Linked DNA regions of Danio rerio. The protein of the gene in region 2 binds, or shares a complex with, the protein of the main gene of each other region. Links are inferred from orthologs where the notes say so. Each region holds a gene or a part of one and is shown on either strand. Other genes may lie near its edges.

Evidence for each region.
Region 1: the proteins of oprm1 (region 2) and pomca are in contact, whole or in part, in a cryo-EM structure (PDB 8F7Q), measured with the Homo sapiens proteins. The link is inferred for Danio rerio from reciprocal best matches to the Homo sapiens genes OPRM1 and POMC. Residues at the interface, in NP_000905.3 of Homo sapiens: Ser66, Met67, Ala70, Ile71, Met74, Gln126, Asn129, Tyr130, Leu131, Met132, Gly133, Trp135, Val145, Ile146, Asp149, Tyr150, Met153, Arg213, Ile217, Asp218, Cys219, Thr220, Glu231, Lys235, Val238, Ile298, Val302, Lys305, Trp320, Ile324; in NP_000930.1 of Homo sapiens: Tyr237, Gly238, Gly239, Phe240, Met241, Thr242, Ser243, Glu244, Lys245, Thr248, Pro249, Leu250, Val251, Leu253.

What each region holds. Positions count from the first base shown.
Region 1 is NC_133192.1:34,930,977-34,935,513, reverse strand, and holds the start of pomca (proopiomelanocortin a precursor), read right to left. Parts: upstream 2,893-4,537; 5' UTR 2,656-2,892; intron 2,317-2,655; 5' UTR 2,315-2,316; coding exon 2,177-2,314; intron 655-2,176; coding exon 124-654; 3' UTR 1-123.
Region 2 is NC_133188.1:27,027,256-27,031,873, forward strand, and holds the start of oprm1 (mu-type opioid receptor), read left to right. Parts: upstream 1-1,718; 5' UTR 1,719-1,832; coding exon 1,833-2,092; intron 2,093-4,618. UniProt on the Homo sapiens protein: Receptor for endogenous opioids such as beta-endorphin and endomorphin. Receptor for natural and synthetic opioids including morphine, heroin, DAMGO, fentanyl, etorphine, buprenorphin and methadone.

The DNA.
Region 1 (4,537 bases), on a different chromosome or scaffold from region 2:
GCTATTGTTAACATTGCCCACCTTCGTTTCTATGCATGATAAGAACCTCTCATCCAGAAGTTTGCTGGGAAGAAAGTATATTCAAAACATCCCCCTATAACAACCTCTCCCCCTTAAAGCCACTCACTCATCCTTCCTCGGTTGGTCTTTATGCATTACGTTTTTGAAGAGTGTGAGCAGTGGTTTCTGAGCACGCTCGTCCCAGGACTTCATGAAGCCTCCATAGCGCTTGCTAGCCGGCGGGACGCTCCAGCGGAAATGGGTCATTTTGTAGGGGGGGTCCTTCTTCCCCAGTGGGTTTAAAGGCATCTCTTCTTGCGGATAGTCGACCTCGTTATTTGCCAGCTCGCGTCTCATCTCTGCCGGAAGCGTTTCGGCGGATTCCTCTTCCACGCCGTTCGTGTACACCTTGATGGGTCTGCGTTTGCGGCCGACCGGTTTGCCCCACCGGAAGTGCTCCATGGAGTAGGAGCGCTTGTGGTCGTGTCGAGGGCCGGACTCCGGCTCTATCTGTTCAGGGGCTGCGAGTGCTACAGGGGAAAGGTGTGCGAGGAGGTCGATTTGCTCCGGCTCGGAGGGAGGCTGTAGATGGCTTTCTCCAGGGTAGACGGGGGTTTCATCTGTAAGTTCAGACCTGCATAATTGTATGCATTCCTTAAGAGGAGAAAATAATACAGTTAAAAAACAAAACACGTGGTTTAATATGTTGGCATTATGTGAGGTTTTATAATTGTGATTGGAAAGAAAATCCTGCACAATTGTGGCTTTCAAAAACAAATGTCAAAAAAGAATTTTATTTAAATTTTTGTGAACATTCTTAAAAATGTCATAGGCTATTTTATATTGTTCAGAATAAAGAAACATTACTGGTGTAGAGTAGGAATAAGACAATAACCGGCTTAAAGGTTTACTGTGGTTTGGAAGAGTCAAGGTATTAAAATCGCAAAAATGTTTTGTTAAACTTTTTGTTAATGTAAAGGTTATTTTTAGGTGTTTTTATGTGTTGTAAGGAAATCTGTGTTTTTGAAGCCAATGAAGATAGTATATAGTCAATGGTTTATTGTAGTAGCCTGACATGTTTACTGTTCCAAAATAGTATAAATGGTTCCTAAAATGTATTGTGTTAAATGGGAAAAAAGTTGTTATTTCTAAAGAAAATGTTTGAAAAGAACAAATTTTATAGCAGTAAATACAATACTGTAATACAGTGAAACTTATATTTATATCCAGCCATGATACCATGATAATTTTTATCCAAGGTTATCAAATCAAAAATGTATACCAGCCATATAATATTCTGCTATAATATTGATTATATCAATTTAATAATGACAAGACTTTTGAAGAGTAAATGCTGTACCTGGAAGAAAAAAAAGAAGTCAAATTATTTATAAAATGTGAAACTGGGCCACAAAACCAAATCTAATGTAAGTATAGTTTGGCAATGGCAAAATATGTCTATGGTCAAAATTGTAGATATACCGTTTCATTAAGTTATTTTATCAATTTCCTACACTCTCAGAAATAAAAGTACAGGAGCTGGCACCGGGGCAGCACATTTTCTAAAGATACATATTTGTACCTGAAGGGTCCATAATGGTACCTCGAAGGTACTTTATAGGTACATTTGGGGAACTAAAATGCACCTTTGAGGTACCACTGTGGACTCTTTGGGTACAAATATGTATCTTCAGAAAAGGTACTGCCCCAGTGACAGCTCCTGTACCTTTATTTCTGAGAGTGTACTTAAAATATATCAAAACTCAATTTTAATATTTTTTTTTTCTGTATTTTAATCCACAAGATTCCAGATTTTCAAATAGTTGTTTCTGAGCCAAATATTATATACCTATGTTAATGACTGGTTTTAAAGTCTATGGTCACAAATGATCAACTAAAAAAAAAAAAGAAAAGAAAACAAACAAAAAAAAAGCCAAAAGTTCAGCCCCAAAACAAGTCTGTTCAACCATTTAATCAACAAAATATTAAGCAATTATTATTTTAATGATAGTTGCCCAACAGACATTTTTACTGATTATAACTCTGCACTTACTGTACACGTCTAATTTTCTAATGGGAGTTACTTACAATGTAACTTACAGAGCACAGAACATCTAAAATAATAATAGTAAAGGATCAGCAATTAATCTAAGCCGTGACGAATCCAGCAACTCACCAAGATGTTCTCCTCTGTGCTGAGGTCTCGACAGCGGGCATTTTCCCAACACTGAGCTCTGACTTCAGATCCTCCTGCGCAGAGAACAGCCAGAGCCAAGAGCCAAGCAGGACACAACATCCTCACTCCCCTCACCATCTCTGAGAACACAATACAATTCACATTTAAGCATGTTAAATTCATATTGTAGACTCTCAAAACACATTTGTTTGCACACTACAGTTGAAAGAACAGTTGGAAAGTATGAAATAATACTTCAAAGTAATAAAATACATCAATTAAATGAATTATCTGATATGCAAAAAAGACAAATCAATAAAAAATCTGTTAGTTTTAACTCAACATTTGAATCAAATAACCCAATAGTTCAGTTACAAATCCCAACTGTTCAGTTTGTCCAATCCCAACTGTTCAGTTTGTCCAATTTTTTGAAGAAAACAATCCAGATTATTTTAGTGTATGGGATATTTTTCACCCACCTTTTGCACAGAAAGAAGTCAGTAACCAAAGTTGTTCTCTCTGAGAGTCTCGGATGTGTCTGGTTGTCTTTGCGTTTGCTCGTCTCTGATGTCTGAGACCCCCCAATCGTCTTTTATAAGCTATCTGTGCGTCAATTCCTCAAGGTCACCAAACTCTGTGACTTTTAATGGGTTGTGCAGGTAGGAAACCCACCGGCATCATCTATGGCAGGGATGAGTAATGAATCAACTGTTGTCAGTCAACAGCGAAGAGTCAGATGTGAATGAGTGCAGGATTAGTACGGGATTCTTATTCAGTCTGGCTAACTAAATGATGATGGTTTTTCTCATTATGTTTAAGGGCAGATGTGTCAGTTTACAGGAGTTTGGTGATTAAGGATTTAAACTCACTTCAAATCAATTACAGAGCATGTTTTGTGCTGTGTAAGGGCACACAGGTGCTAAGCCTGTATTGAAATTGGTTGGAAGGTGAAGGATTTGAAGACGGAAGCCATCTGGATGCGTTTACAGAACAAAAGATCATGTTAACATGGTTTGATAGGAGCTCAGGTTAAGGAGAAAATATAAAATTTTGGTATATCTACTTTAATTTTTACAAATATATTAAACGGGGGACACAAAACCATAAGTCTCAAAAATTGAGGTCTTAAAGCAGAATAAAAAAGCTTTAAATTGATGTATGGTTTGTTATGATAGGATAATATTTGTTGAAGATGCAACTATTTAAAAATAGAAATTTGAGAGAATCTGAGAAAATCGTCTTTAAATTTGTCTTAAGTTCTTAGCAATGCATATTACTAATCAAACATTGTTTTAATATATTTACAGTAGCAAAATGTACTAAATCTTTACCTAATATTCTAAAAAAAAAATTGGCAAAAGAGAAAAATCAGCAATTTTGACCCATACAATTTGTTTGTTATTGCCAATAATATACCCAAGACTGGTCCAGGGTCAGTGGTGGTAAGAGTACTGAAAAATCATACTCAAGTAAAAAGTACCATTACTTGCCCAAAAATGTAGTGCAGGTAGAGTAAAAGTATCAGTTGTAAATATTACTCTAAGTATGAGTAAAATGCAACCCTTTCAAAAGTATTCATGAGTAGTGAGTATTACGCTGTAAAAAAACTAATGCATTTACATGTAGTTTGTGGATGTGTGTGTAAACGAAACATTCTGTAGTGCATTTAGTTATTGTTTAGGGACATTTCAGCCACCATACAGTTAAATCGCCAACCTGATTTTACCAAGTACATGTTCCTAGATTAGCATATTTGTTGATCCTGGAACATCATTCCATTTAGCCCAAAATTAAGGGATACATTTATCGTTTATGTTACGTTTAGGCTTACTTAGGTTTATGCACTTCTACATTGTGATCCAAGTATTATTCCCCTCTGAATAGTCATGGTTAGGTTTAGGAGTAGGGATTAGGTGGATTACATTTTCCAACAAAAATTATGTTCCAGGAACAACATAATAGATGTTAATCCAGGATCACATTGTACATCGGCAAATTATTACATGCTACAGTAAAGATCCGCCATCTTCTTATCAATGACATGCATCTAAACAGTCTCTGGGTCATTGAGTGTAAAGATTTTGGACATATTCTTGGATGCTTTTAACGCTTCCAAACAGTTTGCTGCATTTATAATTTGCCCATGTCTTGAGGTTGTTCAGTATGGTGCGATTTACTTTCTATGTGCGATTTGATTGGACAGGAATCACAGGACTGATTTTTCTAATCCCCAAAGACAAGAAAAGAAAAAAAAAAGAAGTAGTGACTGGAGGTTGAAGGAACTTAGTGGAACAAAAGAACCCATACAGCACTTAAAATGTACTGTGTGAAAGTTGAAGTACACAATTTTTAAAACTACTT
Region 2 (4,618 bases):
TTGGCATGGGTTTCCTCCGGGTCCTCCAGTTTCCGCCACAGTCTAAAGACATGTGATACATAAATAGTGTATGTGTGTGAATGTAAGTGTTTACTTAAGTAAAGTGTTTACGAGTACTCGTATACAACTGGAGCGGCATCCGCTGTGTTAAAGACTGCTGAATAGGTTGGCAGTTCATTTCACTGTAGCGAACCCAAGTAAATAAAGAGACTAAGCCAAAAGAACATGAATGAATGACTGTTAGTTGTTGCATAATGTAAATAATGTAAATAATTAAAATATATTAAATGTGAATTTAGGGCGACGCAGTGGTGCAGAAGGTAGTGCTGTCGCCTCACAGCAAGAAGGTCGCTGGTTGGAGCCTCGGCTGGGTCAGTTGGCACTTCTGTGTGGAGTTTGCATGTTGTCCCTACGTTCATGTGGGTTTCCTCCAGGTGCTCCGGTTACCCCCACAGTTCAAAGACATGTGGTACAGGTGAATTGGGTACGCTAAATTGGCTGTATTATGGGTGTGAATGAGTGTGTATAGATGTTTTCCAGAGATGGGTTGCAGCTGGAAGGGCATGCGCTGCGTAAAAACATATGTTGAGAAAAAATTGGTGGTTCATTCCACTGTGGCGACCCCAGATTTATAAAGGGACTAAGCCGAAAAGAAAATGAATGAATAAATAAATGTAACTTTAAGCAAGCGTTGACCCTTTTCCTGCACTGTATAAGGTCTTATTTTTTTATTATTTTACAATACTGAACCTTAAATGTCATATAGGCAACAATTTAAATGGATCCTAATAGCAAGAGTAAACATCAGCCATACTGCTCTAAGGAGAAATAACCCACCACATTCAAACCTAAAATGGATACTCGCATAATGAACAAATTATTTAGCAGCCTTTTATGCTTAACTTGAACAAGAAAACCTGATTTGTAATAAAATATGATACTTTGATAGTGTACATTTAGAATACATTTATTAAATGCATGCTTATTTGTATATGGCTCTTAACAATAAATATCATTTAAGCAGCTTTACAAAGTGTGCTCATTATTACTTCATTATTTAGGCTCTGTGAGCTCAAAATATCAAAAATACATAATGATATTTAAATAATGATAATAATATCTCTATAATATAAATAGTAACACAGCTCAATATTTCATTCTAAATGGGAGAAAAAGTCCAAGCGTTCAGCTGTTGCCATGGTTACCTCTGACAAACCATTTTTCTGTGTATCTCCTAGTCAAAACATGCGCTTCCATTAAGTTTTGTCTATATACTTTCGATGTTTCTGAACATTTAAACCCCAGTTAAAATACTACACTGAGAACATACTTTCAGGACCACCAATCTTTAGTTTTGACCTCCTTTCGTGGAGTTAAAGCCTAATTAGTGAAGTCAGACTTCCCTTTTTGCATTCGGTAAATATAAAATCAAGCCATAAATTCAGCTGGAGAGATGAGGATGAGCGATTGTAAATTCATACATCTCTTCGACGATGAGAAAGTGACGAGCTGGAACCACCGGACTGCCGAAAAGCCTCTAGTCATGTGCATATATACGTGACGTCATTTTGTTGAATAAAATGCGACGCTCGATACAATTTCACGAGGGTAATGCAAGAACTGCGGGGATAGATTTATCATAGAGTCTCGTAAACAAAAGAGACTACTATACTTGTGGCAGCAGCGGCGGGAGCAACATTAGACTGCCTCGGTTGATCGGTTGGGACTCGTTGAGTGTTTTGAAGCGGACAGGTATCGATATCTGTGAGCGTGATTGATAAACAGCGCGCGCGTGCAGAACTTGGGCGAATATCACCCGAACGGCACTTGCCATGATGGAAAACACCGGCAACATTTCGGACCTTCTGTACGCGCTTTCCAACCCAATGGTGTCGAATAGCAGCATATTCTGCCGAAACTTCAGCAACAGCTCCGGTCTCGTGAACATGAACAGCTCCGTATGTGACAGGACGCCAGAGCTGGACAAAAGCTCAACTCCAGTGATTGTGGCCATCATCATCACTGCCTTATACTCTATAGTGTGTGTGATGGGACTGGTGGGAAACGTCCTCGTCATGTATGTTATTATAAGGTAAGAGAAGACATGTAGGGGAATGTATTACGATGCATAAGATATTAGAGTTGTTTTGCTTCCTTTAAATAGACATTTTAGGTGATAGTTTTTCTTTATGCAATATGATAGTTGTTGCTTTTTAAAAGGGACCTGTTGAAAGAGGTGCTGATTGTTTTCTGGTAATAGAAGTCGGCATTGCAGAAACTCCCTTTTTTGCAGTCATTCAATCACTAAAGACGGCCTGTTAATAATAGAATAAAATAATGTTTTACTGTTGTAGTTTATTTATGCTTATGCTTGCTTTTCATTTATAAAATAATATTAACGATTTACAGCTCAGAAATGTGTCTCTTCTCCACTGAGTGTGTGTACGCGTTTCCGATGTTCCTGTCAGCGTATTGGAGAAAAACATTGCATTGTTTCGTTCACATTGATTTCACACTTCATCTGATGCGGTGTAACACCGCATATTTTGCTAATCAGAAGTGCCGCTAAATAGAGATGCACTTATTTTTTGAAGAAAAAGAACGACAGTTCAATGAACAACTGGGCGGGTGCTTTGCATGAATAATCGATACTGAAATGCAGCACAAAGTGAATGGCTCATAATCAGAGATGGGCACAAAAATGAATTGGAATAGCCTACTTAAAAAAAAAAAAAAAAAAAAAAAAGACTAGAGATGGCCTATACAGACAGAGGGGCAGACAGATCGAGATAGATAGATACTGTAAGCAAATTAGATGAAGTTATCTGCGATGTAAAAAGATGCATTGTTTTAGAAAAGTTGTGGTTGCCTGGATGCTTTTGTAAAAACAAAATAGATGTAAAACCATTGATTACCTGGAGGCCTACATGTACAAGAGTGGGGTGAAAACCCAATACACACAAACACATTGTAAACCCAACAACAAACACTGCAACTAAAATATGTTTTGCACAATTAATACCACTACACCATGATAACTTAAGTGCTAAAATAAAAGTCATGAAGGATTAAAGTTCCCAAACTGAAAAACATATTATGTATGTATAGAAGCGACACAAATAAACTTTGCAATAACAATCTCTATGTAATAAACATGTAACAAACCCAAATGTACATAATCATAAATAACTTATCCACTTAAAATTATTTATTATTTCAATTTATTATATGATCCAAGTAACAATTATTTAAATTAAATATGATGTCATGCAGTAAATATTGGGAATGTGAGTTAATTTTTCCCCTTATGGAAATGGTGTGGCGAGGCATTGGCGCAGAAGTGCTGTCGCCTCACAGCAAGAAGGTCGCTGGTTTGAACCTCGGCTCAGTTGGCATTTCTCTGTGTAGTTTGCATGCTCTCCCTGCCTTCGCGTGGGTTTCCTCCGGATTTTAGCCTTTTTTTTTACACTGTGTTTGTACGAAGCCTATGGTGTTTCCCCAACAAGTACATTTCACAGTTGTCAACTGAAATTATTCAGATTTCTTTCTGTGGCTTGCCTCTTTAAACCAGACACATGCATGACAAACACATCTGACCTGATCCTGTGAACCTACAATCACAGTAACATGTGTCAGGCAAGGATGCAATCAATACACTAATTAAACAGAGGTGACTGGATTTCAATGAGGATGTGGGGGCTTATTTGTCTTAAATAGGCAGCAGTTTAGTTCAGATCAATCGCAAATTAAGTCAGAAATGCTGAGTCTAAGAGGTTGAATGAATCTTTAATATCCATTTCTTAAACAATACTATTTGCTCATCAGATTTGAAAGGCTTCAAGACATACTGGGATCAATAAGTTTGTATTTAATTGTCAAAGCATTGTCCTCTGCAAAAGGCTGCATGATTTTCTTTGCCTTCTGAAGACTCAGCGTTTTCCAAACATTTATGAGCAACCAATCACAGTTTTAGAGGCAGCTGCCTAAAGTAGGAATCATAGACAGCTATTGCCCAGTACTGCAATCTACATGTGTGATAAATGAGCCAATGCAGATTAGCTTATCGACCTCCATCATGTGGTAATAAAATGAGCCTTGAGAGAAATAAAAAATGGTGAGAAATGACATAAGTTGATTTAAAACTACATTAACATGTTTCCTCTCATGCATTTCTGTACTTGAAACAGAAATGATTAGTTCACCTCCCAAGTCTTTGAGTGGTTTACTCCTCTGTTACATGACGTGACAGCCATTTTGAAATTAGGCAATAATTCAATGTTCTTTAGTTTTTTATTTTATTTATTTATTTTTTTCACACACACAAATGGATCATTGATGAGATTTACCCACATATTTAAATCCAGGAACCTTAAAGTGAGCATATGGTCAAAAGGGAATAATTCAGATATTTTTTGCATGTTCATTGAAAGTCAGTGGATCATTTAGCGTTTAACAAAAAAAAAGTCATGCAGGAGTTGAAATAACATGAGGGACATAGAGGGCAACAGACCTGATTTTTCTTTTTATAGCTTTATAAATCCTGACTGAAGATTTGCTTATGGAATGAAAATTGTTGCAATGAATCAAAACAGTCATATTTTCATGATGCGTTACTCGT